Linked DNA regions of Rhinolophus ferrumequinum. The protein of the gene in region 3 interacts with the protein of the main gene of each other region in a pairwise test. Links are inferred from orthologs where the notes say so. Each region holds a gene or a part of one and is shown on either strand. Other genes may lie near its edges. The genes, in order: SETD5, DMRT3, MTUS2 and CTSZ.

Region 1 (7,762 bases), on a different chromosome or scaffold from region 3:
AAAGCTGTACGTATTTTATATAAGAGACTTTGTACCACTGAACACATGGGGTGAAACATGACAGCTGTTTATTAGCAATGTCTTTTTTTCCCCTTGGATAGGAAAAAAGACAGTGGCATGAAATAAAAGATGGCCATGGAGATGCAGTTATGTTTGTTGTATCTCACTCATCTCCAAACTGGGTGAATATGAACATACGCACTTCACGTGCAAGTCTAAGGAACAAAATCTATATTGTGGAGGTTAAAGGCCATCTGCACAACACCTTCTATGTCAAGTACAGCATTTAATATATTGCTATGCGTGCCACACACTAAAATTTAAGCTCTTGTCTTTTGATAAGGAACCTTTGCAATTTCCATACTGGTTATTGATTCAATACATAGTTACATGTTGACAGGTAAACTATAGGATTTCTTAGGATATTCCTTGACATGTGTATCAGCTCTTAACTATATTTTAAATGGATTAAAAACTTTAAGTGTTAGGATTGCATCTCTTTATTAGCCAACTATTTTATGCAAATGTAATTATAGCCTCCCCCTTACCCCCGCTACGTTTGAACTGCTATGACAGATTGGCACAGACACAAGAACGCATGCGTACAAGAGATATACTCCATCAATGGTCTTCAAAGTACAATAGGCAATCTTGCTGCTATAATGCTACCTCTTGAGAAATCTGAACTTTATTTACAGCAGGATTGCAAATTCAGAAAAATTTTTGCTCCTATTGTTATACCTAGAGGTTTTCCTACAAATATATAAAAAATGCATAACGTATAATGTTGCCATCAGCTTTAAAATCCCATGAGGTAAAGTCTAGGTCTTTTACTTGGTTGAGTATGTTGCCCTTCATACCAGGTTTAACCTTCGTGTCAGTGCCCAGAACAGAATATGCATGGTGAAGCATTAACAAATATCATCAATAATTTAACAGAATGGTACATAATTGTTGACGTTTTCTTGCTTTGCAGAAATACCGAATGAACAACTGTAATTAGTTATAACCACAGTATCTACTGGAAATTATGAATGAAAATGCTTCAGGAAATAGAAACTTTGCAGTCAAAGTTTTAGGCCAGAAGTATTTTTTTCTTTCTGCAATTACTTCTGGACCCCCAGCTATAAATATGGGTAGTCATCTCTGTACTCTATCAAAAATATCAGTTTTAAGAATAGTCGCTTTAGGTCTTTTTCTTATCTATTTATTCCAAACTCACTGATTTAATCTCTGTTGAAATTTCTCTCAAATATGTTAATGCTATTTACCTAAATAGTTTGTTAGTTAATTCATATAGGAGGCTAGTGGCTGACCTCATAAAAATCTATTAACACTACACAACTAGTCACCGACTAATGTAGGAAGATTTTTAAGTACTTTATTTGGAAAATAGTTATAAAATTGTAAACCTCAGCTATTGGCCATAACTGAATCTCTTTGGCATGCAAAGAAATAAAAACAAAAGAGGAAAAAACCCTGGAACACAATCCACCCTTCCCCACCCCCCCACCCTCCGTCTTTGTTTTTATATGGGAATAAGGCCAAAAATTGCTTTAAATTCTAGACCACCCCAGAATATAATATACTGCTTCTTAGGGTAGTTTCATTTTAAGTCTTCCTCTTTAAGGAAGCCAGTAAACAAGTGGCTTTGTGAAGAAATATACATGCTCTTTACTATCATAATATTCTCCGTTTTAAGGAAGAAAACCACTATTAATCAGGGACGCAGTTGAACCCAGAGTTCTGGTACAGTTGCTTTGCTTTGCTGAAGGGGGAAGAATCCCCGGGGACTGTGAAAATGGCAAGAGAAACAGGGGAATTAGAGCAACACCCACCTCACTCAAGAAGTGGCTGTGGGATCAAGAGTCTGAACTGGACCTGAACATATTCAAAACACCAGGATTTTTCCAGCCCAGACCCTAATCCCTGGTACTGCCTGGAATAGACTTGGCTTCTGGGGGTGTGCTGCCCCCTAGGCCCCTTGGGTCTCTTTCGCTGGACTTTCACATCCTGGTGTAGTGCCACTTCGTCTTGAAAGGTAGGGGGCTTCCACTTCCTTTCTGTAAGCAAGGAAGATTGGGTACAAGGGAGGTAAAAGGACAAGAGGGGGAATCTGTGAGCAGGGGGAATCTCGGACAACTTAAAAGAGAAGGGATACAAAAGGCTAAATTTTTTAAAACTGTGAATAATATATAAAGTTTTATAATGAAGGCCTACCTTCATTGCCATTTGGCACTTAAATTCTTCAAGAATTGAGAGTCTATTTTAGGGATTGGGCTTTTCGACAAACTCTGAATTCCTAAAGCTGCTCTTAGCTGAAAAAAAAGTTTGGTGCCACTGATTTTGAAGGTCCTCTTTCTAGGCAATGAATATTATAAAAAACAGATGACACTGCTTTCCACATTTTCTACCCCAAAATGTCAGAACATCTAAGTAACCGGCCCATATTCAGTTACAGCCCCTTTACTCTACAACAATGAGAAGTACATAGGAAGAGGCCTTCAAGGAAAATCAGTTGGAGAGAACTTCTCGTCATCTCCGTCCATCAGAAAAATCATTAACTCTACTACAGCAGGTAGTGACACCTATTTTATTTCAATCTTCCCCACCCATTAATACAAACAAAAATGCAATCACTACTTTGCAAATTTAATTCTATTAATGATTTACTCAGAAATCCTGCCCCCACCCCCAAATTCTTTTCCTCTCTTTTTTCCCTCCAGCTTCTAAGGGAGAAAGGGAAAGGTCTAATGTCATTTACAGTGGGCTAGGTTTGGGTTTAGAAAATATTGTATATTTATCATGAGATGCCCATAAGAAAGTTGTCTCCACACAAACTGGTAATTCACCTATGACCTAGGAAGTTATCACTTACTCTGATCCAGCAGCCATATCTGAATAGGATGTATCTGGTGTGGTGACTCCCAGAGGGATTGCAATGCTCATGACGTCCAACACAGCAGAGAGTGGAAATCACGGGGTCCAATTAATGGAGACTGGCCACTCTGAGAGTGGGGGTGAGCTGCAGAGCCTCAACCAACATGTTATGGACATGAGGAATCCTGGCACAGAAAAGGAAAATATCTAGTAACCAGACAGTTCTTTAAATTCATCCTAAATACTACTAAATGGTTTTTCATTTTTTTGAATAAAGCTTTTACAAGGGATAAATATAAAACAAGTACAGCAAGGGATCTACACATTATCCCATGTTTACTATGTACTATATTAATGTTCCACAAAGTAAGGTAGCAAAAGTTCTGCTTACTTTTCATTTTTATTTTAATTTTTTTCTTTTCTGATAAAGGGAAAGTAACAGTCTGCCCAGCTCACTAATAAGTACGTTTCCCCTATTCTACAATCGTTCATCAAACAAAATTTCCTGGCAGCCTAGGACCTAACAACTAACAATTTTTAAGATATAGGATGGTTAATAGAATTATCACAATTTAATTTCTTTTTTAACAATTCAAGATCTTTCATTTAAACTCCCCCCCGCCACAAATAAATGCAGTTTACCAGAGCCAATAATGCTATTTCTTCCAAATTAAATATGAGATCGATTTGTTTCTTTTTGATTGGATACAGCTATTTCCTATTGCCTTCTTTTATCACAGAACACTGTTCCTTTATAAAAACCATTTTTACTTTATAATTTTGGGAGAAGATCATCTTAACTACATTTGCGAGGTAATATCCACTGCTAGGTATGAATAAAAACATAAACCACAAAGAATATGGTTTCATGATAAAGATTAGACAACTTTCTATGGAAAAGCAGTGAGGATATCTTGAATTGGTGGCCATATACAGACTGGAATTTGGGAACAGAAAGACTCAGCAACTACTGAAGTGTAAAAAAGCAAAAGTAGATTAAGAGATTTTGGAGGTATGGTGAAAAGGGAAAACCGTATACTTCGTATAGTTTTACATTAGTTGTTGTATATTGTTAAAAAAACACATTGAAAAGATGAAATAAGCATTTCATACGGAAGAAAGTCAATGTGAATGTTAAAGACTCAGCTTAATAAAGACTGCAAAAAAAAGACTACAAAGAGTCATGATTCATATACTGATTCATAAGAAATAAGACACTAGAAAAGTCAAGAGATTATACTAAAAATATTAAATGGAATGAAAAGTGTAAGATATTAATTGAGCCAATCTAGGGAATTAATGCAAATTTTAAATGGTAGACGATCTGAGATGTTTGAATCTTATTTTGATACACAAAGCAAATTAATGTGGATAAGAAAATCAATTATGAACAGTGAATCAGGCCAAGATTTTTAAGAATGCATAAAGATAATATTACTTCTTTGTGCCATCATTTTAGAATGCTTGAATAGCTATACACTGAGCAGTCTTCCCTGGAACCTATACTTTGAAAGAGCTTGATCTCACCAAAGGACCTCTCCAAATATGGGTGAGGCAATACAACTGTTCCTATTCAACTCAAGGTGACGTATTGCTAGACTTGGGACCAAAATGAAAAGGGCAAATCTTCCTATCCATTGCTTCCTCACAGGTCACGAAAGAGAAGTGATTAATGTAACTTTCTGCCTTTGCGCCCATCTTACATACAATGTTTTCTTTGACCCTAACAATATGTCCAAATAGAGATTTAAGCAGTATATCCTCAACGTCTCTGGGAAACTGAAACAAAATCTACAAATGACAGTAGAACACTTATCAAATAAGCCCAAAAGGCATAAAATTAAATATTGGGGATTGTTGGTTACAACTCTGTCTCTACTTTTAGTATCACCGTATAATTTGAATTAAAAATAAAAAATAAAAAAAGCCCTAAAACTGCCTGGCTTGATAATCAGACAGTGTGATAATGATCATACCTTCCCTGATTAATACAGGAATCTGAATCATGTACTATATATTTTCAGTAAAGGACCAAAAAAAAGTTACTTAGCACCATTAAAAATCCTTTGTCACTGCTATACTATTATATGACCATAAAACAATGTAGGCTTCCAGATAGAAGTCAATTTATAAACCTAAGCTGACAGTTGTTATTTTTCTGAGTAATTTTAAAAAGATATACCAAAAGGAAAAGACGAAACAATTACTTCAGTATCTCCTTAATAAACGAATAAATGCTGAAGACATTCCTTACTGCAATTCCGCCCTTGCTAATCTGGATAGTTGAGAAACAATTCTGAGAAACATTAAGTAGCCAACTATAAATTTCTCTCATGAATTTCTCCATTTTCCTTTTATCTCGTTTTACCCTTCCACTCCTCTAATGAAAGCAATCATTATAATAAGCTTCACCATCTTGTTCTAAATAATATTTTCACAATATTGGAGCTTCTTAAATGATAACAAAACCAAATTTCTTATATAACTCTGAGAATAGTTCCTTCCCTAAATAAGCTGTGCAAAATGCAGCTATTAAAATGTTAACTAAAGAACTTTTAACAGATCGTCTATACGCAATATTTTCTTAAAATTACTCTAGTTTTATAAGCCAAGACGATAGATTCCTACTATAGTTTACTAAGCTTAGTAGTTGTAGCAGTTATTCATCTGCTATAGTTTGGAGATATGTCCTAGAGAGATTGATAAGAATTAACTCTGTCTCTAGGTGGAACAATTTCAAGATATCTTTTACTTGTTAATTTGTCTGTCTCTTCCTAACAGAATACAAACTCTATAAGGACAGGTTATTTTTGTTTTATCTTCTGCCATAGTTCCAACATCCAGAACAGTGCCTAGTACAAAGAGGGTGTTTGAGAAATATTTGCTGAATTTTGATCATCATCTCAACATATGATTTTAACATTCATCAAAATACAAAAACAAATTAAAAGAATTAAAACAAATTAAAAGAATTTGGCTCAGTCACCTTTTTATAGACCTCTGAATACGAAGTCCCAAAAATTATGTCAGTAGCTCTGAAGACCTAGAAAAAGTTGAGACACAAATTAGTACAGAAAGAAGTAACATTGATGCACACAAAGAATTCTACAGAAATATTTTTAATGCTGATTTTGTTTCATCTCTGTATACTGTCTTGTTTAACATCTTATGTTCCATCTAGTACTATATTTTTGTCCTTTAACCTTTACATCCCATTTTCCTGTAAAGCCAGACCTAAATAAAGAAATGGTGGAGAGGAAAATTATCTTTATTTGACTTAAGAAGTGGTAAATACTTTGTCACTGGATAATCCTCTTTCCTTCAAATTAGAATTCTCTCCCATTTCCAAAGGGATTTCGTCTTTTTATCTCTCTTAGGGGTGCTTCTCTTCTCCACTGACCGCTTCCCAAATCCAGAGGCTTTTCTTTAATCAAATGTCAAATTTATTCTCTAGTCAGACAAGGACTTACCTACCCGTCACCTATTAACGTATAAGTCTACATTACTCCTTTCTTACCCGACACTCCATTCCACCTATAGCCTCTTGTCCTACTGTAGAAAGAGTGACAAAAGGAAGTCATTTCTATTTGTGGTCAACTCCATAACAGAAACATGTGGAAAAATAAGGCCTTAATTAACTTTCTACCCTCCAAAAAGGAAAGGAAAATAGGTGATGACCCAGGACTTTTAGGGGAAAAAAGTAAAATTTAATTAACACCTGCTATGTTAATGTATCGTATGTGTGAAAGGAGCTGCTTCTGATATTTCACATACCAAAGAGTAGAGAGGAAATGCACTTTATGTTGATACTTTTATGGATTTCCAATTTATTAAAAATTGGAAAATAAACTTTTTTTTTAGGAGGGTGCAGCTCAAAATGGCTCCTGCAGGGATCAAACCAGCAACCTTGATGTTAGTAATTAGTAACAATGCGCTCGAACCAACTGAGCTAACTCGCAGCACCGAAAATAACCTGTGCTTTAGAAACGATTCTAAAAGAGCATACTGTGTTTCCCCGAAAATAAGACCTAGCCGGACAATCAGCTCTAATGCATCTTTTGGAGCAAAAATTTATATAAGACCTGGTCTTATTTTACTATATATAATATATGTCTTACATTAATCTTTGCTTCCAAAGACGCATTAGAGCTGATTGTCTGGCTAGGTTGTGTTTTCGGGAAACATGGTACTAGGAATTATAAAAATAAAAGGTATGAAGATTACAGTAAAGAAAAAAAACGAAATAAACCAAGGACAACAAATAAGAAAGAATATAAGAAACAACAGAGGAAAAAGAGAAATGAGTAGTAGGGGGTTAAAAATGAATGCATCAGAATTTCAATTTAACTATATTCAAAAGAATCCATTAGAATCCACAGGAACACTAAATGGTACGTTCTTGGATTCAGAGGCAGAACCAGCCTGTCTCCCACTACTGAGTCCTCTTTTGAGAAGTCACCATTTACATAGTTTCTTGGGAAAAGGGTATTAAATAAAACATGTCAGAAAGTTTATAATTATTTGTCTTTTTAATTAGGTTCAGAAATGGTCAATAGTCTCTATATTTGTCATTCTGACAGTCTCTTTTCTATATGACTTGCTGAAAGCACAAGACCTGTGTGATTTGTCTGGTCACTCTCAGAAGACACACAAAAAGTGTTTTAAGAACAATTCCAACAGAGATTTCAGAAAAAGAAATTGCATCAGCCAGGTGAGCCGGAAGCAGCTGGGAGACAAGAGTCCCATAAACAGCCAATCCAATGAAAGAAATCCAGAACAAGTCTGCTTCAGTAATCCTGTGAAGAGGACTGGCAGGAAGAGGAGTGCCGCTTCAGAAAGAGAACAGGCCTCATATGCTTCAGACAGTCTTTGTACTGAGGCT
Region 2 (7,389 bases), on a different chromosome or scaffold from region 3:
TAAAGAGATCAAATATATGGTGATGGAAGGAGAACTGACTCTGGGTTGTGAACATACAACATGATATATAAATGGTGTATTATAGAATTATACACCTGAAACCTATGTAACTTGACTAACAATTGTCACCCCAATAAACTTTAATTTTAAAAGAACGGTTTTACAGCCAGTGCTGCTCTCATTTTACCTTGGAAGGTAGGAGTTTTTTCTTTTCCTTTACACAGAAGGCAAACAGGGTCTGCAGGCCGCCACTCCGCTCCTCTTCCAAAATGGTGTGGGGACCTGACCCACGCCCTCCTGCTACCTGCGGGGACGAGCTTGTTCTTTTGCACATGGCCACTGCCTCCAAATCCCAGATCTGAGGGGGGAATCCGCAGGTCGGCCGAAAGGCGGAGGCCGCGGGGGCATCTGGGGCTCGTGGCCAGAATGGGGAGTGAGCGACTGGGTGGGGGTCTTCAGGGGATGCGGACCTGGACCCCAGCCCAGTGGGGAGCGCTCCGAAGCGCTTTTCCATTCCCTCCCTTCGAAAGCGTGGAGTTAAGGTCGCCGCTCAGTGGGCCCAATGCAGGAGCGACATCCCTACCCCACCCCCAAAAGTTGGGAGCGGGCACAGCCTGTGTTCGGGCTGGGTCTGATGAATCTGCACCAATGGGAGCGCTTTCTCGGGCGTGAACCACTGGCTTCGAAAGTTCGAGAATCTGAAGGACTGAGAAGCAGCATCTGCTGAGGCTGCACAGGGCCGACGGGGTTGCAGCCCGTTCCCCGCCCTTGTTTGCTCCAAAAGACCTAGGCCTCTGGAGATCCTCGGGCTGCCCACTGCCAAAATGGTATGAAGACATGACCTCCCAGGACCTTATTTCAGCTCAGCCGCGTCCCCCGGGACCGCCAAACGCAGGTTCAGGCGTCCCGGCCTCACGTGGCCTCTGCGCCGCGCCCCAGAGAGCGGCTTCAGGGATGCATGGGGGTTGTGGGTGCGCATGAATTAATTGAGGGAGAACAAGGGCATTATTGTCACCTCAAGAAATCGATTGCTAGTTGCCCCACCGCATCACTAGACATTTGTTCCCCGCTTTTCAATTTGAAGCCAAAGAGCGATGCCTAGAGGCACGGACAGCGTGAGAGCTGAGAAATTCGTAGGCCGGGAGACAGGGCTGGTTTTCCTGCATTCAAAGGACTTTCTGCACGCCCCTGGTTTCCAGCGTCACCGTGGTCGCGATTAAAACGACAAAATAGGAACTCTGACCTCCCCCTCCATGAGATTTCAGCAAAGCCGAAAATTGCCTGATTTATTATACAGCCGGGACAATGTGAAACTGTCTTTTTGTTTCTCGAGGCGAGAAGCCGCTACTACTAGGACTCCCAGATTTGGAGTCAGAACAAGCTCCATTTCTCCGCAAGGATACCTGCATTCCGCGAGCTTTTAGATATACACACACCATGGGATTGAGTGCCGGCCAAGAGAAAGAGAACCACATATGCACATTATCTTTCAGCCTTTCGCTGTTAATACCTGTCACAGTTCTACCCAGTTAATTGTGGTTAGAAAGCACACATGCACATACCCCACCCTGAGCAGAACACGAGTGGGTCCAGTCTAGTGAGGTTACATTTATTTGTGATCCTTCCCCCTCCCTTTCCAAGGTCTTTGATGATTTTTCCCATAAGTGTAAGCTGCCGGGACTTAGTAGAAGCAGGCCGCTCCTTCTAAATGTGATTCGGACCATATGCTTTCCACATTCATCCCCGCTTCAGCTTTTCTTCTCTGCACTAACTGCTAACACGTTATAGTCACCTTGAAATTTCCTCTGCTATTTTCCAATTAAAGGCTTAATAGCCCTGGAAACGGAGTTCATGTGGTGAAGTTTACCATAGCCCCTTGTTCTAAAAGGCTTTCTGCTGGGATCCCATTATGTGCTTGAATAAACCCTTTCTGCAAACAGAAATGGGACTCGGGATTGTCAGGTGTTGGGTTACAATAGACTTTGAGGCAGGGGACATTTTACCAACATAAATACAAACCTGTCCCTATAGGGGGATGTTGTCAAATACTGGGATATGGAAAACATTCCCATCAAATATGAGAAGAGGATTATTGCTCTATATGAAATGAGTATTTCGATCTCGGACCCCGATGTGCACTGGAGTGAAACGGTGCCCCAGGACCAAAAAATGCCAGACTGTTTGAGTAGCAAAGGGATAGGGTGGCTAGGTGACCGAGGGAGGAAAGGGGGTCGTCTTGCTAGTGGGAATACCACCGCCCTCCAAACCCGGGGCAGAGCTTTTCTGCTTTTCTTTTAAAAAAAAAAATGCTTTACTCCCATGATTTTTATACTCCTGGTTTCTCTGACCATTTGGACAAAATCAGGAGAAATGTGGCTTTCAAACAAATCCATGGTCCTCGCGTTCCCAAGAGACCCGGAAGTTTCAGCGCGAACGTTCCCAGATTCAATGTCATTCTAGGCCCTGTCTCTGTCACGTGAAGCGACTCGCTGCCAACTCCCCACTTCTCGGCCTCTGTCCCACCGGGCTGCGGGTGACCTCTGCCTCCAGTCCCGAGAGTTTATGAAGTTCCTTCCGGTTGTAGTGTTTTTGGGCTTCCTTTCCTAGCGAAGACTGGGAGGAGAGGAGGGATTGAGGTGATGGTGTTGGGGGTGGGTAGGAAGGGGAAAAAGACTGAGGGGTCCGTGCCACCACGGTTTTGAGGGGAGGCCTCTCAGGGTTAGCATTCGTGCAAGTGTACCTGTTCATCTCCACCAGAGCAGCATCCAGCGATTCCCAACCCCCGGACAGCTCTGAACCCGGGGCCGGGGCGGCTAAGGGCTTCAGGGGAAACGCACACACCTGCCCTTTTTATCCCTCTTCCCCTCCCAGAATCACCCTTCTAGGAGGAGGGTTGGCTGCTAGAATGCCTGGAGGTGCTTTACTTGAATTCACAACAAACACAGAAGGACGTTTTCAGGTTGCTTGTTTGCTTCAAGGCAGAGAAAAGCGACCTCCCTGAGGTGACAAGGTCCGCTATACGGCCGAAAGGTTGGCTATTGCAGCGGAGTCAACTACGCTCTCGTTTCGTATTCGATTCGCCCAGAAATGAGCTCAGTGTCTGCTCTCAAGAGCATGCGGACCCAGCTCCGGGACTGGCATCTCCCCCTCTTCGCAGTGAGCAGTTGTATTGCCCTGCGCCGCTGTACCCTCCAGTGTTTTGTTTTTGTTTTCTTGGATTGAGAGGTGGGGTGGAGGTTAGTCGTCCCTGTGCGTTTGCGGCGCTAGTCTGCATTAGGCCAAACCGGTACTCTATGAAATTAGAAACGCGCAAATAACAGTTTAAACAAAGTTTGATGCTGTCATCTTATGCAAGCCCCCCCCCAAAGACAATGCGGTGACAGAAGAATGACTCCATCCCTTATCTATTACTAAGTGCCTGAGTCCGTGGAGATTTGAATTGGGTGACACGAGACATCGGTTTGATGGTTCAGTGGCTGTTGGACAGAGGGGAGATCATAGCCAGTAACTTTTGGGGCGCTATCGTCGCTTCCTCGTCCACTCTAAAAATTTAGACCCAGCACTTAACGCAAATCCTCCACACCAGCGCTTCCCCCTCCTTTCAAGACTGAGACTGTTTTTTTTTTTTTTTACTAAAACATGGGGAGGAGAATAAAGAGATTAAACTCAGAGCGGAAGAGGGAGGACTGTGCCTGCAAACTGGGTTGTCATTCTTGGGCTAGCAGGTTTTCAAAAACATTCATTTTCTTCGGCAGGAGTAAGATTTTTTTTTTTAATGTTGCAAAAGGAAATCAAGAAAGAGCCCAAATTTCCTGAACCAATTCCACTACTCTACTCCCAGTGGCCTCAGGGCCTGACTCGCCCCAACTTAAAACCCTCTGGACTCATGCCGGGTCCCGAGTACATCCGCAACGCTGCGGAAGGCTTCGGTTCTCGCGGAGCCGCGTTTCTGCGGCCAAGTGCTGGGATAAAAGCAGCCTCGGGCTCGGTGCCGCCAAATCAGGCCTGGTGGGAGGAGAAGGGATCGAAGGGGAGCCGGCAGCTCACTCGCCTATAGGCACCCCCACCCTCACCCCGCTGACCCTCCCCTTCTCTGCCTGGAGTGCATCACTGCGTCCCAGAGCGCTGCAGTCCCTCCCGCCAGGGGCAGGGGAAGCGCAGAGAGCTTGGAGGAGGGGGCCGTGAGCGCCCCCGCGAGAGCTGCCTGGCTGCAGGTGGCAAGGTGATGTGTAGGCACTCGAGGGGCGCAAGGAAGGAGGAAAGCGTGGGGTGGAGTGGGGAGTGCAAGGAGTCCGGGACCCCGGGGGTGGGGGTGACACTGGGAGGGAGGAGCAGTGGGGGGAGGGCGGTGGAGGAGGTGCTGGGCCCGGGCAGCGAGCGCGGGAGCTGCAGACGAGCTGGCTCAGACCTTAACCAGAGTTCTCGCCGGCTCCTTGTAGCCGCCGGAGCGCCTCGGCGAGGGAGGACGTGCGGGCTAAAGCCTCCGCTGGAAGAGACGCGACCCGCGTGGGACTGGCGGAGTACCAGCGGGAGGCTGAGGCTGCGAACGCCACGGAAGCCATAAAGACGGCTGCTGCACCACCGGCCGTCCCGGAACGCACGCGGCCTCCAGGGCTGCGTGACCAAGGACCGCGCCCCGGGGAGGCCTCCCGGGAGCGGGCTTCCCAGTCCCGCAGTTCAGCGTCCCGTGGCCCGCTCGCGCCGCCAGCCCGCCAGCTCTTCCGGGAGCCTGGGGCATGAACGGCTACGGCTCCCCCTATCTGTACATGGGCGGCCCGGTGTCGCAGCCGCCGCGGGCGCCCCTGCAACGCACGCCCAAGTGCGCGCGCTGCCGCAACCACGGTGTGCTGTCTTGGCTGAAGGGCCACAAGCGCTACTGCCGCTTCAAGGACTGCACCTGTGAGAAGTGCATCCTCATCATCGAGCGTCAGCGAGTCATGGCGGCGCAGGTGGCGCTGCGCCGGCAGCAGGCCAACGAGAGCCTGGAGAGTCTCATCCCCGACTCTCTGCGCGCCCTGCCGGGACCCCCGCCGTCGGGGGACGCCGCCGCCGCCCCGCAGCAGCCCCAGACCTCGCAGCCATCTCAGCCGCCGCCGCCGCGCCCCGCCGCCGAGTTGGCTGCCGCCGCCGCGCTACGCTGGGCCGCCGAGCCCCAGCCCGGGGCGCTGCAGGCACCGCTCGCCAAGCCAGGTAAGAGCATCTGCGGGGCGGGAGCCGGGCCCGGCGTTAGGGGGAAAACACTTCGGAGCTCCTGCGGCGGCTCTGCCTGGGAGGCCCGGAGGCAAGTTTGAGGAAGTGGGCCGGGCCGGGCCTTCCTCCCCAAACCCCGCCAAGCTGGTTCTTACTCTCCGTGCAGAAGCCGGCCTTCAGCCTGGATCCAGCAGGTAGAACCAGGCGCCCGCAGGAAAGATTCCGTGGGCAAGCCAAACGGCAGGACTGTGCGACTGGCCTGCCAACTGTCACCACTAGTTTAAAGGGGAACGTGGCCGTTTCAGTGGGAAAGTAAAGAGGTCGAAACAAGACCATATTAAAAATCCACGCGGGCATACACACAACGGTGCGGCAGGATTTTCCTGGCTACGAACTTCTAGGGAACCTTGCATTTGGAGATAGGGACAGGTAGATGCAGGGACAGAGCCAAGGCCCAAGACTTGGCTGACTGCTAGCTGGGCGTGCTTCTCGGCCCTGGGGGAACTGGAGCGAACCCGAAGCCTGCGTAGTAGTGCGCACTGTGGCCTTCAGCCTCTTGTAATTTGTTGAAAGAAGGCTCATTTAGAAGCAATGCTAAGAAGGGCCAGAAAGACTTCTAAACTTATAGCGAGGACCCAGAATCTAGAGAGCCCAGAGTCAACTCCTTTTGCAAAACTGCTCAGGTCCTTTAACACCTTTACTGGGTCCGCCCTCAGTTGTCTCTGTGGTTTAAAGAAACAAACAACACTTGATCTATAGCGAGGAAGGCCACCTCTGGCTAGCCCTTTCCCGATTCTAGGTAAGCCTGGGCCTCCAGCTGCTAAACCTCAGATTTGGAGCAAAGGCTCTCTGGTCCTCTTGCCTCAACTCTCCTCTTCTCCGCTGCCCTGCTTTGTAGAGGGTGGACTGCCCTGAGCCCTGAAGGTGGGCAGATTCCCTCACCCCCAACTCCTGCTGCCATCCCTTTCCCTCCTTCAGGCCTCTGGAGTCTGCAGACCCCAGTTGAGTCTTTCTCCTCAGGAATCTCTAGCTTGTCCTGCCCAGCCCAAGTGCTCCTTTAATTTTAGGCTCTTGGAATTCAATGGACATGTGTTTGGTGTTTCCCTTTCATTGTGGCAAATGTACAAAAGAAAAAAGCCCATCTTCTCAGGGAGGGGGTTAAAGGGTATGCTGGAAGTCTGAGAGCGAAAGCCCTGGAAGGCCCAGAGCCCTGTATGTAGAACTGTGGTAGAGCTTCTGTCTATATCTCCCACTCTCACACACGTCCAAGGAGATTGTGGGGGTCTGCGAATGCTTCTGGCTTCTGGAGAGAAGCTTTCAGGAACAGTGAACTGCTGTGTGGAGCTGGGGAAGTGCAGACTCACTGGTTTAGTGGTGATTTGATAGGCAGCTTGGCAGGCACAGTTTTGCTGCCCTGTTGCTCAGTTATACTTTCCAGGCCAGAAGCTCTTAGAACGTCTTATGTGAAGAGCAGAACTGGGTATTGTAAGGACAGAAGAGAATTTGCTGAACATGGATGTTGTGGATATTTAATCCAATATAGGATATAAGCATTTCTCTGGTAATGTCCCCCACCCCAGTTGTCTCTTTTCTGTCAGTCTGATCTCTTCATATTTGTAGATTAGCCACAGAGGAATAGGAGGAGGGAAGAGAAAGAAGGCCTAGTTTACTTTTCTTCTTTAGGTTAGAGAGAGTTTTGTCTCAGTTCTAGAAGCTGATCCCTGCTAGTAATTTTTCTTAACCTTTCTGTTTCCAGTTTCCCTATCTCCATTTCCTCAGCACTAGAGCAGGGATCTGAATTTGTCAGTGGTAGCATTTTGCAGTGGCCACCTGCCCAGCAGCACTCCTGTAATAGGGCTTTGGATTTTGGGATCCTAGTCTTAAGAGAGGATTCCTTCCACATCCTGTGCTCTTCAAACCATTCTTCTGGGTAGCCAAAATTCATGGCTTCTAAAGAGTCACAAAACCAAAAACAATCCTGGGAGGGGGTAGTGAGGGCAGGAAGAAAGGTGGAGCTGCAGCTGCAGCAGCAGGAGGATACAGCGTTTGGGAGAATGAACGAGGGAGACTGATTTCACCTGGACAAATCAGACCTGATGCTCTCTCTTTTACTCTAAGTATTCAGGGATAGATAGCCGGATCCCTCCAAATTGAAAAGAAGTAATTGCAAAGGAGAATAGGATTTACTGTGTTTCCCCG
Region 3 (7,189 bases):
CTGCTATTAAGAACAAGTTGATTGTTCATCCTAGTCCTTCCCAACCCGCATCTGTTTCTTGCAAGATATTTTCCAGGCCTGAGTTTGCTCACTGTTTAAAATTCCTATTAGAAACAGATGCTAAGGAGGTTACAAAAAGATCTCCCATAGAGCTGATGCTATCTGTTCCTGTTAACTTTGTATTAATGAAGCATGTTTGGGTAATTTTCTCCCCCTTCCCCTGGCAGTCCACCTCTGAGATGTGGAAGGGGTTTAACCCACTTTCCTCCCTTCCCTGTTCTGCCTCCAGCTCACACTCAGATCAAGAGAGTCCCTATTTGTGTGAGATCCCAGGCACAGCTGCTTCTCCAGGTAACCACCTGATCTCAGGAGCTCTACACAGCCTTAGGTTATAGCAATTTGCATTTTCTCAGCAGGTCAACTACGGTACTGGCCAGATTTCTTATTTTGTCTTTTCCTAAAACTACAGGCATTAAAATAAGGAAAAGCATTTTTGTAAGTTAACATTTGAACATAATTTGGAGACAGGGCAGATTTAGGGTGCACGGGGCCTTACATTTAGATAATGGGAGGTGGGAGTGGAGTGGGGAAAAGTGTCCTCATTTAATAAGAATCCAAAATTATCAATATACACATGGTATGACCATGTGAGCATATTGCTAGTGGCCCTCCCAGGGGCTCGGAAGAAGCCTAAGGGGGGGGCCTGTGGCTTACGATTCATTAGCTTCCCAGCCAATCCACCTCTGCTGGGAGATATAAAAGACTAGAGAGGTTTATACCGCAGCACTCAAATCTGTAGAAACCTGCTAAGCATAACAGTCTTATGTTACATCAGTCCTCTAGATACTATTCTTATCTCTCTTTCACAAACCTCCACCCGCTGCTCCCTCTAATTTGATGGCAGCAATTCATTATAAAAGTGCGTGGGCTGGGCTGGGCTTTAACAATCCAGTACTGTGCCAATTATGCAATAGCCAAAACAGCCAGTTTAATGGAGTACGAAAAGCAAAGTCGGAGTTCTTACATAAGCCTTCATACACCATCCATAAGATCTGCTCCCAGACTGGAGTCTCTGGAATTACATAAGGTAGATGGAAAACACTGATTCAGCAGCCAGGTTTATTTCTGACCTTAAAAACAATCAAAGCTTTTTGCATTTAATTTACTAGTCTCTATTAACATACGTTTTTAATTTGATGGAGAAAACAATCTTTAATAAGACTTGCCATCTTTTCATATAAACATAAAGGGACAGCCTGACACTGCTACTCAACTTCCCTGTCACCTGTGCACAAAGAAATGTCCCACTTAGGATGCCCCTACATATTCAACACGAAATTACGGGTCTCTGATAAACATCAACTACTCTTTGCCAGTTTAAAAAAAAAAAAAAAAATCAAGAAAGATACTTAGACAAAAATACAAAAGTGTACATGCTATAATTCTTCAACACATGTCCTTTCCAATACCATTTTTCTCTTCCCCATATTTTTAACCACTTATTTATTTATTTTTTTGTTTTACTTACTTTAAACCACTGTAGCCACACCTGGGGCTACAAAGTGACAAATTTTAAAACACAATGCTAGCCAATGGGTCTCACCCCTGGCTACACATGACAACAACCAACAGAGCTTTTAACATTACAAATGCCACAGCATCACCCAAAACCAATTAGAATGAAATACTGGGGTAGGGCGCAAAAGGGGGTGCCTGACATCCGTATATCTGATGCTTTCTACTTTTGTCTTCTTACCTGAAAATAACCATAAATATGATAGCAGGTTTGGGGGTAGGAGATCTTTAGTAACTGGCAGCTCATAATTACTAAGTTTCCATCAGCTATAAAAGTAAACTCGTGCTATAGATTAAAAGCTATAAAGGATATCTGTGGGATCCTTTTTTATTACTATTGATAAGTAGTCAAAAATTTTTCACCAAGTTTCTTAATGGCCTTTACAAAACCTACCTTATTTTTTAATGTTTAACAATTCTACCTAATGAGTTCAAAGACAGGGCCCTATACTATCTTAAAGGGTGTCTCAAGCTAAGATCATGCTTATCTTCAAGTAAAGTTTTGGTTTAAAGTAGAAATGATGGTTCTCACCTATCTTCACCCTCCCTTCTTAGATGCTCTGATAATCCCATTTATAACTTTACCAATTAGCAAATATGTTTTTCAAGCCCTTACATAACAGAGAGTACAGGCGCCTTTGGTATCCTGCCAAGAGTACTTCTTGCCGTGTTTGTATTTAAAATAGAATGGTAGTAACATCGCTTGTGTGCCTGAAATTCCTTCTGTGCACAGGCTCCGAATGAGAAAATGGATGTAGCAAACCGCTTCGCTGCTTTACCATTATAAAGCTCAAAGGAAAGAATACAGACTAAATTAAGACGAAGACACAGAATTACCCAAAGCTGGGGGCAGGGAAGGGGGCTCGGTTTAACTAACCTACCATCCCCTCCAAGACCGAGGATGTTTAACCTGGCAGCACGCGAAGGTGCCAAACGAGCTGCAACACCTCCGCCCCAGCAGGGAATGTGGCAGGCCAGAATAAGTGCCACGATGACAGAAAAGCCAAATAAACGCTGCGCTGCCCGCCCCGGCTGCGATCACTCCCCAACGCCGGCACCTGTCTTCCCGCGGGTTCCAGAAGGCAGGACCAGAGCCCAGCCCTGAGTGCTGAAGGATGCGCTCACCTGGGTGGGAAAGAGCCAAGAAAGGTGTCCAAGAAGCCACCACTGCTTTAATGGACTCTCATCCCGGACCGGTTCCGACACGCTCCCTCCTCTTCTTCCTCCTCCAGCTCGAGTTTTCTATTTAACGACAGGTCGGGACTCCACTGACCGGCAAAGGATGTCCTCAAAGGGGGGCGACAAACTTGCCAAGAGAAGCCGGCAGACGTGGCGCAGGTGGAGAGCAAGGGACGCCCCCGCACCTGGGGCCGGCTCGTCAACGCTGTCCCCACGGTCGCGCAGGCCCCGCCCAGGCCGCCGCCCGCTCCGAGCGCCGGGGCAGCGGGGGACGCGCACGGGGGCCGTCGACGGGGCGCCGGGGCGCTGCCCTCCCGGCCGCTGCAGCGCTGTCCCTGCGGCCGCCTCCGACGGACAAAGGGAAGCCGCGGAGCGGCGGCGGCGAAGCCCGGGCTCCGGAGCGCACCGCGCAGCCCGCGCAGCTCGTGAGGTGCGGGCCGCGGTGACAGCCGCCGGGCGGCGAGCGGGCCCCCGCGGGAGGGCGGCGGGGACGGCAGCGGCGCGCACCCTCGCGGCCGCCGGGAGACGCACACGGCGGGGCCCCGGACGCCTCCTCCCGGCCCCGCGGTCCGCAGCCCCGCCGCCGGGAGCCGTAGCGCCCTCTGCCGGCCACGCGGCCGCCGTACGCGCGCCATCTGCTCCATCTCCCCGCGGGCTCGTGGGCGCCCAGCGACATCGCGGTCCCCGAGCGAACCCGCGACTTCAGGGGAAGCAAGGGGTAAGACAGGAGGCGGGGGCTACAGGGCAGGGAGCTGCGCACAGTGGGATCTGCTGTTACCCTCTTGGGAAGGAAGAGGGAGCATCTTCGAATTAGGAGCAGCAGGATGAGTTAGGATTCAGCAGTGGGAAGAACTTGGAGGGCGGGAGGATTCCCGGTGCTCAAGGAGCCCAGAGTTGATCTCTGGAAATGTCTCCGGAAAAGGCAGGCGTTTCTTTCTAGAACCAGGTTTATGTCTGTGTTTAACAAGCACCAACTGTGCCTAACTCTGTTCGAGAGGTTCTAGAGAACCTTGACACCTCTGATGAATAAATATATTAATGACTTCCCGAGGACCCTTCCAGTCCTGCGTGAAATGCTCCCCGCTGCCCTAAGCAGTGCTCCTAGAAGGTTTGGAAAGGCAGGCGAGGTCAGAGAGCTTCAGCTTCCTCTGGTTCCCACAGCAGGGGAATAGACATCTACCATTATGAAAAGGAAATGCTGGGGCTGGTCTTTGCACTATTTAGGTGTTTTTTTAAGGTGGGGTCATTTTTCCAAACTACCATGTTAAGCAATATTTTATACCAGTTAATTTTATTAACAAGCTGGACTATTTGGTGAAATCATGAAGCAGCACCTTTTTTTTCCACACCACTGTCTTTTTAAATTATTCTATCAGATCTCCCTTCTCCTCTAGCAGAATCTAGGGCAGATTTCATAGCTTTTCCTGTCACTTTCAGGTGTTAATCAGCAGTCTGATTCTCCGGTATTAAAAAGTCCAGTCCAATTCAAATCAAAGCGTCAGTCCCATTCCACTTAAGCCTTCCCCAGACAGCTCCCACACCCACCAGCTCCCATCCTGACCCAAGCTCAGAGCCTGCCTGGGGAAGAGAAACGTCACTTTTTCCTTTCTTGTTCTACATCCTCCCAGCTAGCCCTGTGAAGACTGATGCTTCCAGGGTGGCAGGGTGAGACTTGTCCCCTGCACCAGGCCCTGGTCCTCGCTTCCAAGTCCGCTTTCTCCTCCAGTAGTCCCTTCACACAGACCCTCTGCAAGGTCACCATTGTGGCAGATCCCACTATGTTCCACCATGTCTGTACAGGTCACTGTGACAGCAGAATACCGTCCTCATTCCCTGGTCACAGGCAGCTCTGACCAGCCTCTCTCCTTGAAGCTTCTCGTGTAGGAGTCAGGCAGCCATCTCTGGACTCATGCATGTCCCCAAACCCAGGTGATACATGCCAAGCAGTACACGTTCTTTTGCATGAAGTAGCTGTTATACTCTGCTCTCCCTCACAGCACCCTATAATTCTCACTGCCCGCCTTCTCCCTGACCTCTCTCCCCTTTCCTTCAATTTGGGCTGACGGCGGCAGAACCCTTACTCAGCATATCATACAAAGGTGGGCCAATGCCGCTATTTGAAATGTGGAGACACCTCTTTCTGTGGCAGCCACGGAGGCATGCCACTCAAATCTCAAGAGTATAAGTGACAGCCTCCAGCTGGCACACCTTTGGATCCAGCATGGCGCTCACACCAAGGTCACACATCCTGCCATCTGTTCCCAGCCCATGGCTAAGTCTGATGGGAGAGCTGGAGCTGGGCTGTTTCTGCCTGGCGCAGGACCCCTCTACTGGGCGGTGTTTGTTCCAGAACTCCCCATCACCCGAGCCCTGCAGTCTGGAGCTCTGTCTATCCAGCCTCCCTCCCATCCTTTCACAGATGTCAGCTCCGTATCATAGTTGGAAAGCAATCCTCACCCACACGCCAACCTCCTTCTCCCTCCTCCACTACCCCATACAGGTGTTTTCTCAACATTTCTTCTGCACATCTAACCCTTCTTGGCATCTGCCTCTCAAAGGTCTCCAACTGGCACAGTCATCTAATGTTCCCAGCAGGTATTCTAAGACAAGTCCCATTTTAACACTTGGTTATGCTTGTATTTAGAAACTGTGAAAATAAGAGTAGAATGTTCTTTTGTGGGGACAATGAAAAAACGATCAGTATAGCCGCCCACCCACCCAAGCGGAAGCTGAATAGGAGTTGGATGCAGAGAGGTTCTTATTGTAGGTGAGCCCAGGAAGCAGTAGTGATGAAATTGAAAGATTGAGACAGGGAAGCACGAAAAGTCACTACAAAGATGTGTTATCAAGGTCACTGCTATTCACAACAGGTGCTCAGTACAGCAGGATCTCTGAGAAGCTTAGAAAGTCTTCCCAGAATTGTCGTTTCAAAGACAGGGGCTGAGCAGTGACCATCTGGCTCCTATTCTCTGTGTATTGGAGCTGCCTTTGGGGCTTTAACTCCCACAAAATTCCAGTCACCCAGAGTTTTAGAAAAGACCCTGCAGCATCCTTTTATTGGGGGGGGGAGAGATTCAGGGGCATCATCAGCTTGAGTTGCAGCTCGCAGGAGGTCCAAGAGCAGCCAAGGAGATGTGGTACAGGACATCAAAAGTGTCTGCTACAGCAGGTATCACAGATTCCCACTGACTTCCCAGACTGAGGGGCACACAGGTAGTCAAAGGCATCTGCCCTGTGTAATTCCAAGTTGCTGAAATGTCCGTGGAAAAAGACAGAGGAAGAAAGGGTAGGGCAGTGTTTGCAAGTCATGATGACACTTGGCAGGGGACTGGTGTCTTAGTTCATTCGGGCTGCTGTAACGAAAATACCACAGACTGGGTGGCTTATAAACAACAGACATTTATTTCTCACAGTTCTGGAGGCTGGAAGTCTAAGGTCAAGATGCTGACAGATTTGGTGTCTGGTAAGAGCCAGCTTTCTAGACAGCCGTCCTTTCACTGTAACCTCAGGATGGACAGCGTAAGGGAGTTCTCTGGGGTCTCTTTCATAAGGGCACTAATCCATACATGGGGGTTCTACCCTCATGACCTACTCACCTCCCAAAGGCCCCGCCTCCTAATACTGTCACATTGGGGGGTAGGTTTCAACACATTCTGGGGGGGCACAAACATTCAGATGATAGCAACGGGTTTACCACACCTCAGGATGTTACTAGGGGTCAGAAACTGTGGGAAGAAGGAGGCCAGGATCAGACAGAGGGAGTAACTAGACTGTAATTCAAGTCCGACAAAGCCTCAGCCAGACCAGGGGAGCTCTGGAGCACATACAGACTGGTGTGCCCGAGGCTGTTCACAGCAGCTTGCAGGCACCAATTATTCAATGTCTTGGAATTTTGTCAGCCAGTAGTTAAACACAGCCATCATCGAAGATTAAATTATATAAACTTATAATTTTATGTATATTATATTAAAAACAAAGTTAACTCTTCATCACTCATTATTCTGCTATGTGTATAAGGTCTGACAATTAAGTTCGAGGACTTGTTGCAACGATGTTGCTAACTTTTTTGATATCAGAGGGGTTATTCATTAGGAATTTGTACCCACTGGACAGTTAACCAAGTTTACTATTAGTGAAAAGTGCTGAAAAGGCTGCATGAAAATGTTAGACGAAAACTACCTGAATTTTTCACCAACAAATTCATGGCTCTTGCATCACGACAATGCACCAGCTCACATGGCACTGTCTGTGAGGGAGTTTTTAGCCAGTAAACAAATAACTGTATTGGAACATGCTTCCTACTCACCTGATCTGGCCCCCAGTGACTTCTTTCTTTACCCAAAGATAAAGGAAATATTGAAAGGAAGACATTTGGATGACATTCAGGACATCAAGGGTAATAAATATGATGACAGCTCTGATGGCCATTCCAGAA
Region 4 (7,914 bases), on a different chromosome or scaffold from region 3:
CCCTTCCTCTACCCGCAGGCACTCTTCTCGCGTTCCCCTCCTTCATTCCCAATGCATAAAACAGCATTTGGGATCTTGCTCCCCGGCAATTGTTGTCAGTTTGGGCTCAAATAAACTCATAGAAAAATTCTCCCCAGGTTTGGATATTTTTACGTTGACAGGGGTGAGGGTGGTGGTGGGAAGGAGGAATTGTTGAGATCTGAGCATATGAGGTTCGAGGAGTCCGGTGTCCAAGCGAGAGGGAGAGGGGGCAGCTGGGTCTCAAGCTGGAGTTCGGGTGAAGGGTCTGGTTGCAGCCAAGGACTCAGTCCTGGGGAACCCGACCTTCACTAGTGAAGCTGGGAGGCTGAGGAGCCTCGAAGAGGAGGAAGGAGATCGGGTTATGCAGAAAGTCAAGGAAAGCGTTACAAGGAGGATTGAGCAAGCACAGCCCAGGACGGAGAGGCCTGGGGGCTGACCACTGGACCTGCCAGCATGGCGGCCTCTTGCTGATGACCTTGGCAAGCACGATGCCTGTGGAGTGGGGGGTGGAAGTCAGGCCGGAGTGGGTTCAAGGATGGAGAAGAGGAAGCATGGGCTGCAGACGCCTCTTCAGGGAGCGCAGCAGTGGGGTGGTGGCTGGAGGCGGGGTGGGGTCAAGCCCTTGCCCACAGTCCTGGTCCAGTCCAAGCCCAAGGAGGAGGGGCCTCAGCAAGGGGCTCAGGTGCTGGGTGCCTGGGGACAGGCGGGGATCAGCTGAGTTAGGTGGCAGCTGGGCCAGGGCCCGTGGAAATCCCCTTCTGGGGGCTTCTACACATATTTTCTCAGTGAAAGAGGAAGAAGGGCCCTGCTACTGGGGAAAATGTTAGAGGGTTGAGGAGAAAGAGAGACGCAGTCTCTCTGCGCAGGATAGAAATTCCCCTCCAGAATTGTGGCAGGTTGACCCATCTGAAAAGTGACCACCTCTAGCCATCCCCTCCCAGTCCTGTAGTCTTACAAACACAAATCTTGGCACATGACTCCCTCTCTAAGTTCCTGAGGCTTCCCTGGGGGCAGGGCCCCTTGTGACCTTTTCAGCTCTCCCCTGTCCCCTCCCCCACACTTAGGCTCTGCCACAAAGGCCCTCTTTCACTTCCTCAACCAGAGCGCCATTCCCGCCTGCCAGCCTGCCCGGCCTTTGCTCTGACTCTCTGCCTTAAGGCTGCCCACATCCATCTCTCCCAGTCGTTCAGCTTCTGGCCCTGTCCATCTCCAGCTCCCTTGAGGGCTCCTGTACCTTCAAATGGGGCTTCAGCCGACCTGCCCCCTTATACTCCAACCCTCAGGAGTCTCCTCATCTGTCGTCAAAAGGAGATGGGGCAAGGCCACCAGGGAGAACCCCCCAGATACCCCTCCTGCAGCAGGCGTGCCCAGCGAGGGAGGAGACGGTGCCCCCAGCCCTCAGGGGCCAGCTTCCCAGTGGGAGTCCCTTCTCCAAGGGACTTCCAGTGTGACTGCAGGTTCCTGGAACTCAGGGCTGCCACTGGAGAAGCCCGAGCCCCTCCCGCAGGCTGCCAGGTGGGCCTGGGGCTGAAGGAAGGCTCCACTGGTGTGAAGTCTGTCCTTCTCCCTTCTCTCCCAAGGCCAGGCCCCGCAGCCTTCCAAGTGGTACGGGCCTCAGCTGCCTCTCCTTCCTCACTGGTCAGACAGCTAAGGCCCAGACGAGGGAAGGGGCCAACCTTATTTAACGCTCCCAGGGCAAGACAGGCGTTCACCTCAAATATTAACTGCGGCTGCAAGGCAGTTTCACTTCCATCCCAAACACTGGCAGGGAGTTCGGGGAGTTCGCATTTCTGGTTTGATCCCAAATGGCCGGGTTCACAAACTTTGGGAGAGGAACCCGGGAGCCACTGGGCTCCAGCCCTAGTGTTGCCTGCCACCGACGGGCCCCAGGGGCCTACCCTGCATAGTGGAGACACGACCCAGCTTATGCCACTTCGCCCTGCCTTGATGGTCTGGGGCAACACGCGGCACAGGTCAGCTCCCCCAGGTCTGAGGGTCACACACCTCCCCATCCCAGGCTGAGCTCTGGCACGGAATCACAGGCTCTTGTGCTTCGGCCCTCCTGTGCTGACAAGGAAGCAGCCTGGACAGGCCTTCCTGGCCCAGTCAAGGGGGCAGCGGGTCCCCCACCTACCCGCCATGGCACTGGTGCTGCCGTGGGCCCAGCAGGAGCCGCAGTACTGAGGGATGTGTTGGTTCCTGGTGACACTGGCATAGTTGACCCCATCCACGTTGCGCCAGTCCCAGCTCTTGGGCAGATCCGATGGGGACAGGTACTCATGAGGCCGGGGATATGTTCTGGAAAGAGACCACCACCCACAGAATCAGCACTGGGGCTGCTGGGCCGCGTGCACAGACAGGGGTCCCCGACACCGGCTCCTCCCCTAAATGAGAGGGAGTGGGAGTGAGTCCATCTCACAGCAGAAGACCCCAGCCCTTCTGGAGGCAGGGCACCCCCAAATGCAGCAACCTTACTCCTCCCCAAGCACTATTCCAAATGCCAGGAAAGTGGGGTTTGTCCAGCTTTGCAAATACCAGGGCTCCCCTGGATATGAAAGCCAAGAGTGACCTCCAAAACAAAGGTGCTAAATTTGACCCTCAAAGGTCAAAGGAGGCGGGGCGCCTAGATTCCTGGCACTCCAAGGAGGCGGCAGGGTCCCCAAAAGGCAGGAGCACGCGAGAAGCTCCCCAAGCCGGCGCCGACCTGCGTCCCAGATTGGACAGCTGGTCCCCGCGCAGGGGCCGGTAGCAGCCCTGGCCCGGGCGGAAGTGGAGGCTGGCCCGCGCGGTGCCAGCCAGCAGCACGAGCAGCAGCAGCGGCCCCGCCGGCCCGGACGACGCCATGGCCCCCGCGCCCAGTTCCGCTCTGGATCCCGCTCCGGGTCCTGATTCGAATCCCGCTCCGGATTCCGCGCTGGGTGCCCCTCCGCCGGTGCCCCGGTCCTGGCTCTCTGGCCCCGGCCCCGCCCGGCCCTTAAGGTGGTGGCGCGGGTGCCCGGACACACCCCCGGGGCGGGGCGCCCGCTCCTGCCCCCGGTGACCCCGCCCCGCCCCGGCCGCCGGGGCACAGGCTGCCCCGAGCTAGCTGAGGGCCGAGCCACCTCCTCCCGCGGGGCAGGGGGAGGGGCCTGAACTCGGGGTCACGAGTCAGGCTTGGCGCCAGACCCCAAACCTGACCCGCCACCGGCCACCAGCCACGTGGCTTGGTGGCTTGACCGAGCACGTCGTTGTCAGACCTTGGAGGGCCCGGGGGGGGGGTGGGGGGGGGGCCTGGCGTGGGAACTGCAGGGTCTGAATGGCTCCCCAGCCTTTGATTCTTGGGATCCTGGGCCCTGTGCGGTGCTGCCTGTCCCCACATACGACCTGGGCCCAGGCCGCCCCCCCCATGGGACAGGGGTCTCCCCAAGTCCTGCAAGGAAGCCACTGTCCTCCCAGAATTTAGGCCCTGGCCTGATTTCTCTGAACCCTGCTTCCCAAGGGCCCCGGCCCTCTGGAGAGAGGTTCACCCTTCACGGAGGAGGAAGGCCGCAAATGCCCCCAAAGAAAACTTCACTTGGCCAAGAAATCGTTGGTTCTGCTTTCCAAAGATGCTTGAAAAGGTTTCCTGCGAACAAAATTCGTCAGAGTCAAATGGGGAACCAAAAGCAGAAGTGGGACCGCGGCCTTGTTTCATAACTGAAGATTCCTTCCCTCCCTCTGCTCCTCACGCGACACAACAGGCTTCCTTGTCTTGTAAGCAAAGGGTCCAGGCATTTTGTTGTGGGGTCCCCCCAGGCGTGAGCTTGCCCTGCTCTTCCCCTTCTACCGTGAAAGGGTACTCGCCTCAGCCCGTGCCCAGCTGGCAATCAGAAGTCAAAATGACTGTCTCCTTGACTTGCAGCAAGTTCTGTGGCCACCTCTGGAAGCGCTGAGATGGCCAAGGGATCCCTGGAGGGCCAGGACACCTGTCAGAGCAGGCGAGGCCTCTGCGGCCTAGGGCATTGCTTCATCAGCCCAGAAGTTTTAGTCCTTGTTCCTGAACAGCTATCACTGAGGTAAAGTGCAGTCACGGGCTCCATCCTTGGAAGGGCCTTTTCTCTTCTTGGAAAGTCAGCTGCTGGTAACCCTTGGCGCCAGTCAGTTCGTCAGGTGCGCTGCAGTCACACAGGGCCCCGTGCTCAGAGGGCCCCTTGCTCGGTGTAAGGCTGGGCTGCACAGTTCATTTGCTACAGGGCATACAGGCCTGCCTGATCACCTGGCCTCCAGAGGCCAGGGTCTTGGGCAAGGGTGAGGGAGGGCGTGGGAAGGCCATTCAGCCCTGTGGACTGCAGGGTAGTGGAGGGAGGGATGGTGACACTTTCAGGCTGCTAATGGATAGGGCATCTGGAGTTGACAAGTTGTGTGGCCCTGGGCTTTCCCCGACATAGAAGCAACTCATACTCAAGCTGATGGGAAAATCAGGCAGGAGGAGGCTAGACATTTGAAACCACAACTTTCAAGGCAAGAAACAAGTGAGGACTGATGTGACACACTCTCTCTTCAGCCCCCGATGGGTCAAACACACGAAGCCAAGCAGACCCAGGGCCCTTTCTTCACAACTGAACTAGGCTGTGGTCAGTGTATGGATGCATGTCCCCCTGGCTGACCACTCTGACAGGCGGGCAGGTACCAACCAACCCAGCCCAAATTTTGGCCACAGAATGCAGTCAGAGCATGCAGGTGGGTGCACTGCTATTAGCAAAGGGCGTTTGGCCCCAGGAGCTCTCTGGAGGGCACACAGATAAACCTAAAAGGCAGCTGCAGCAGAGGAAGAGGAAGAACACACCAAAGAACCTGCCGGACCGGCCACCCCGCCTACCCATCTCTCCTCAAAACCAATGCACCTGAGTGGTAGCTTCCGGCCGGGACTTTGCAAACCTGGGAACTGTGTCCCTTGGTGCCTGTGAGGACATTTGTGACTCAGCTCCTGTGGTCTGGAATGGAGGAGGAGCAGGACAGGGCCCCGCGGCTGGCTGCCCTCTGAGGCCTGCTTGCCTGAGCTTGGCGCTAGCAGTGCTCTCCTTGGCTGTGTGTGCCCCCACTGTCCCATCTGGGTTACATTTCATAAGTACTTGAGACTCGGAGTGAAGTCCTCTTCCTAGAAGCCGACCTGCTTTATGCCCTGGGATTTTCTTCCTGGATGTAACCGAGTCGTACCTGCTCCCCAGTGGTGCTTACAAGGAAAGACAATGACATTCTAGAATAGTCTCCAGGCTGGGAAACATCTGCCTTCATTTGATGGTGGCAAAACCCAGTGAGGTGATGTTATCACCCCATTTTACAGGTGGGAAGACTGAGGTTCCAGAGAGGTCAAGAGACCTGTACTCAGCATAAGGCTTGTAGGTGGCAGGTTTGAATCTAGCCACCCCTCCCCCCCCATACGGTCTCCTGGCACATACACGACCCAAGGCCACGACACAAAAACCTATTCACTTTTTAAAATGAGGTTGATTTCCCCTTCGTCTCGATAAAGAGCACATATAACTTAGTTAGGCCAGGGCTGGCCCATTTGCCCAACCTGGAGGAGAAAATACAGGTTGAGTTTTTGTTTACTGTGGAATTGCCTCAAAGTCCTCTTCCCCTGTTCCTTCATGCCATGTAGTCTGGCTCCCACCGGCAAGCTGCAGACATTTCCTATTATCCCACATTCCTGAGTTTAGCCACATCCTGGAAACCAGCGTTTGTTTTGATGGAGGCTGACAGTGCTCGGGAGGCAAGTCTGGCTTCCTTGCCAGCTCTAGGGGCTCCTCTAGCAGGACCACGTGCCCTCTGGGTCGGATGCGCCAGCTGACTCCCAGAGGCCTTTACAATAAAGGCCTGCGTTGGGGCGGGTCAGGAGCGCTGTCAACCTGGCTGCTGTCCCCAGGCGCCATTGTCACCACACCCTCTCCTGGCTGCACACACTTGCGTGGGAGGGAACATGGCTCCCTGGGGTCACATTGGTGAGGGTGGCCCGTCAGCCGCGCCCTCAGAACGTGCCAGCCGTGGCCCGGCATGTCACATACGGCCCACCTGGGAGCTGGCCCAGGAACTCTCTCAGTGGTCTTGGTCATTCGCCTGATCAACTTGCTTGGCTCTCCACAGTCGGGCCGTCAGCAGACATGTGTTGAGCACCTAGTATGTGCCAAACTAGTGTCCCATCCCTGGGGTACAGCAGTGGGAAGTCCCTGCCTGCAGGGAGCTTACACCTTGGTGAGGGGCATGTAGATAAAGGAACAGACTCTGGAAGTAGAAAAGGGCTTGGAGATGGATCAATTCGGCGGAGGTGGGCGGGGTTTAGAGACTGGCAGGGGCTCTGGGGAGTTGAGTTCGGCCTGGGACACTTCTCTTAGCTCTCCAGTGAGCTGGAATTAAATGATGAGGACAGAGCCATGGAAAATGCTGGATTTCTTAAGCAGAAGGAAGAGTACGTAAAGTCCTTGAAATGCAAACACGCTTGGTAGGTATGATCAGCTGGAAGGAGCTGCTGGGGAGAGTGGCAGCAGAGAGGCTGGCGAGAGGTAGGCAGGGTGAGGTCCCTGGAGAGCTTGAAGGCGGCCCTGAACGCACCTCTCAGACCTCCAGGCTGCAGGGAGCACAGCTGCTGGCTCTGCCAATCAAGGCTGGACTCCTGCCTCATTCCCGCCCGCCTCTTTTTCTTCTCTCCATCTTCAGGGTAGGCCTGCACCTCTGTCCTCTTCGGCTCTCTTCCCACTCCTCTCACTAGTGTTTTCCCATCAAGGATCTCAACCACACATCAGCTGTGGTAAGAGGGGTGGTTTCACCCTAGTGGCAGCTAGTTTCCTGAAGGGCGGCAGGCGAGATCTGATTTATGTTTGTTAAGATCCCTCTGGTGGCCGGGGGAAGATGAAATGGAAGGAGGCAAGCATGGCGGTCAGTTAGAAGCTATTGTCGTTGCAGATGGGAGCGCTGGTGGTGACGGGTTAGGGTGCTGCTGGAGAGATGGTGGCAGCAGACACAAGGGGCCACCTATCTGGGCTGCAGGGCTGGCAGGACCCAGGCACGGGCCAGTGGTGAGGAGGAAGGTGAAAATAGCTGTCCAGGCTCCTCAGATGCCCAGCTGGAGGCATCTCGCTGGCCTGCCTTCCGACGCCTCGAGCTGACCCCCCGATGCAGGGGTCCGAGGACCTGTGGCCGGTGCCCGGTTCTGCTGTGTTAGCCTTGAACAGGCCGATTTCCTCTCTGAGCCTCTGCTTACTCTGCAAAATGGAGAGAAGCATCATCACCCAGCTCCAAGGTGGTTGAATGAGGTGGCACAGAACTTGGTAATGGCCAGTGGAAAGGGTAAAGTACTGCTGTGTCTCTGTGTCCCCGAAGTGAGCGCAGGGCCCATGTTCCCCCCTTCCCCGAGGTCCCGCGAGCCCCCCAAAGAGCAGAGCACTCAGCCAATATTTGTGCACAAACGGATGGATTTCTGAGATGCATACAATAGAGATTTCTTGGACAAACACTGGGCTAGAAGAAGTGTCCACTTTTGTTTGATTTCAGCTCCAGGGGCCTGGTCCTATCATGCTTATCTCTGTTTTTGCCGCAGGACGCTGCTTCTCAGGAGCTGCCCACCTTAGGTGATGGAGAGGCTGGGGGAGGTTCACAGTGGTTCAGGGGGGAGCGTGTTTCCTCCTGCACAGCAGAGGTGCCACAGCCCAGGACTCTGATCCTAGGTGTACCGGAAGGGATGGCACAGCATTTCCACATCTGGGCTCAGAGGCTGGAAAGGGAGGGACAGCAGCCCAGCAAGGCCAGCGTGGTGTGGGTACGATACCACGCTTGGGCCGGGGGAGAAAGTCTGAGGCTCCTCCGTGAAGCCTGGCAGCCTGGCGTAAGGAAACATGGAGACGTTCTCCCAGTTCCTTTTCTCTTACAATTACTTATTCT

What was found.
Region 1: the proteins of MTUS2 (region 3) and SETD5 interact in binary tests that used the Homo sapiens proteins (3 or more experiments, as listed by UniProt). The link is inferred for Rhinolophus ferrumequinum from reciprocal best matches to the Homo sapiens genes MTUS2 and SETD5.
Region 2: the proteins of MTUS2 (region 3) and DMRT3 interact in binary tests that used the Homo sapiens proteins (3 or more experiments, as listed by UniProt). The two-hybrid records come from large-scale screens. The link is inferred for Rhinolophus ferrumequinum from reciprocal best matches to the Homo sapiens genes MTUS2 and DMRT3.
Region 4: the proteins of MTUS2 (region 3) and CTSZ interact in binary tests that used the Homo sapiens proteins (3 or more experiments, as listed by UniProt). The two-hybrid records come from large-scale screens. The link is inferred for Rhinolophus ferrumequinum from reciprocal best matches to the Homo sapiens genes MTUS2 and CTSZ.

The regions. Positions count from the first base shown.
Region 1 is NC_046300.1:44,353,193-44,360,954, forward strand, and holds the start of SETD5 (histone-lysine N-methyltransferase SETD5), read right to left. Parts: upstream 3,017-7,762; 5' UTR 2,950-3,016; coding exon of another isoform or gene 2,879-2,949; intron 2,064-2,878; 5' UTR 1,839-2,063; intron 1-1,838.
Region 2 is NC_046295.1:34,674,833-34,682,221, reverse strand, and holds the start of DMRT3 (doublesex- and mab-3-related transcription factor 3), read left to right. Parts: upstream 1-4,388; 5' UTR 4,389-4,736; coding exon 4,737-5,190; intron 5,191-7,389. UniProt on the Homo sapiens protein: Probable transcription factor that plays a role in configuring the spinal circuits controlling stride in vertebrates.
Region 3 is NC_046287.1:100,557,661-100,564,849, reverse strand, and holds the start of MTUS2 (microtubule-associated tumor suppressor candidate 2), read right to left. Parts: upstream 3,008-7,189; 5' UTR 2,701-3,007; intron 1-2,700. UniProt on the Homo sapiens protein: Binds microtubules. Together with MAPRE1 may target the microtubule depolymerase KIF2C to the plus-end of microtubules. May regulate the dynamics of microtubules at their growing distal tip.
Region 4 is NC_046306.1:3,336,437-3,344,350, reverse strand, and holds the start of CTSZ (cathepsin Z), read right to left. Parts: upstream 3,013-7,914; 5' UTR 2,866-3,012; coding exon 2,726-2,865; intron 2,320-2,725; coding exon 2,156-2,319; intron 1-2,155. UniProt on the Homo sapiens protein: Exhibits carboxy-monopeptidase as well as carboxy-dipeptidase activity. Capable of producing kinin potentiating peptides.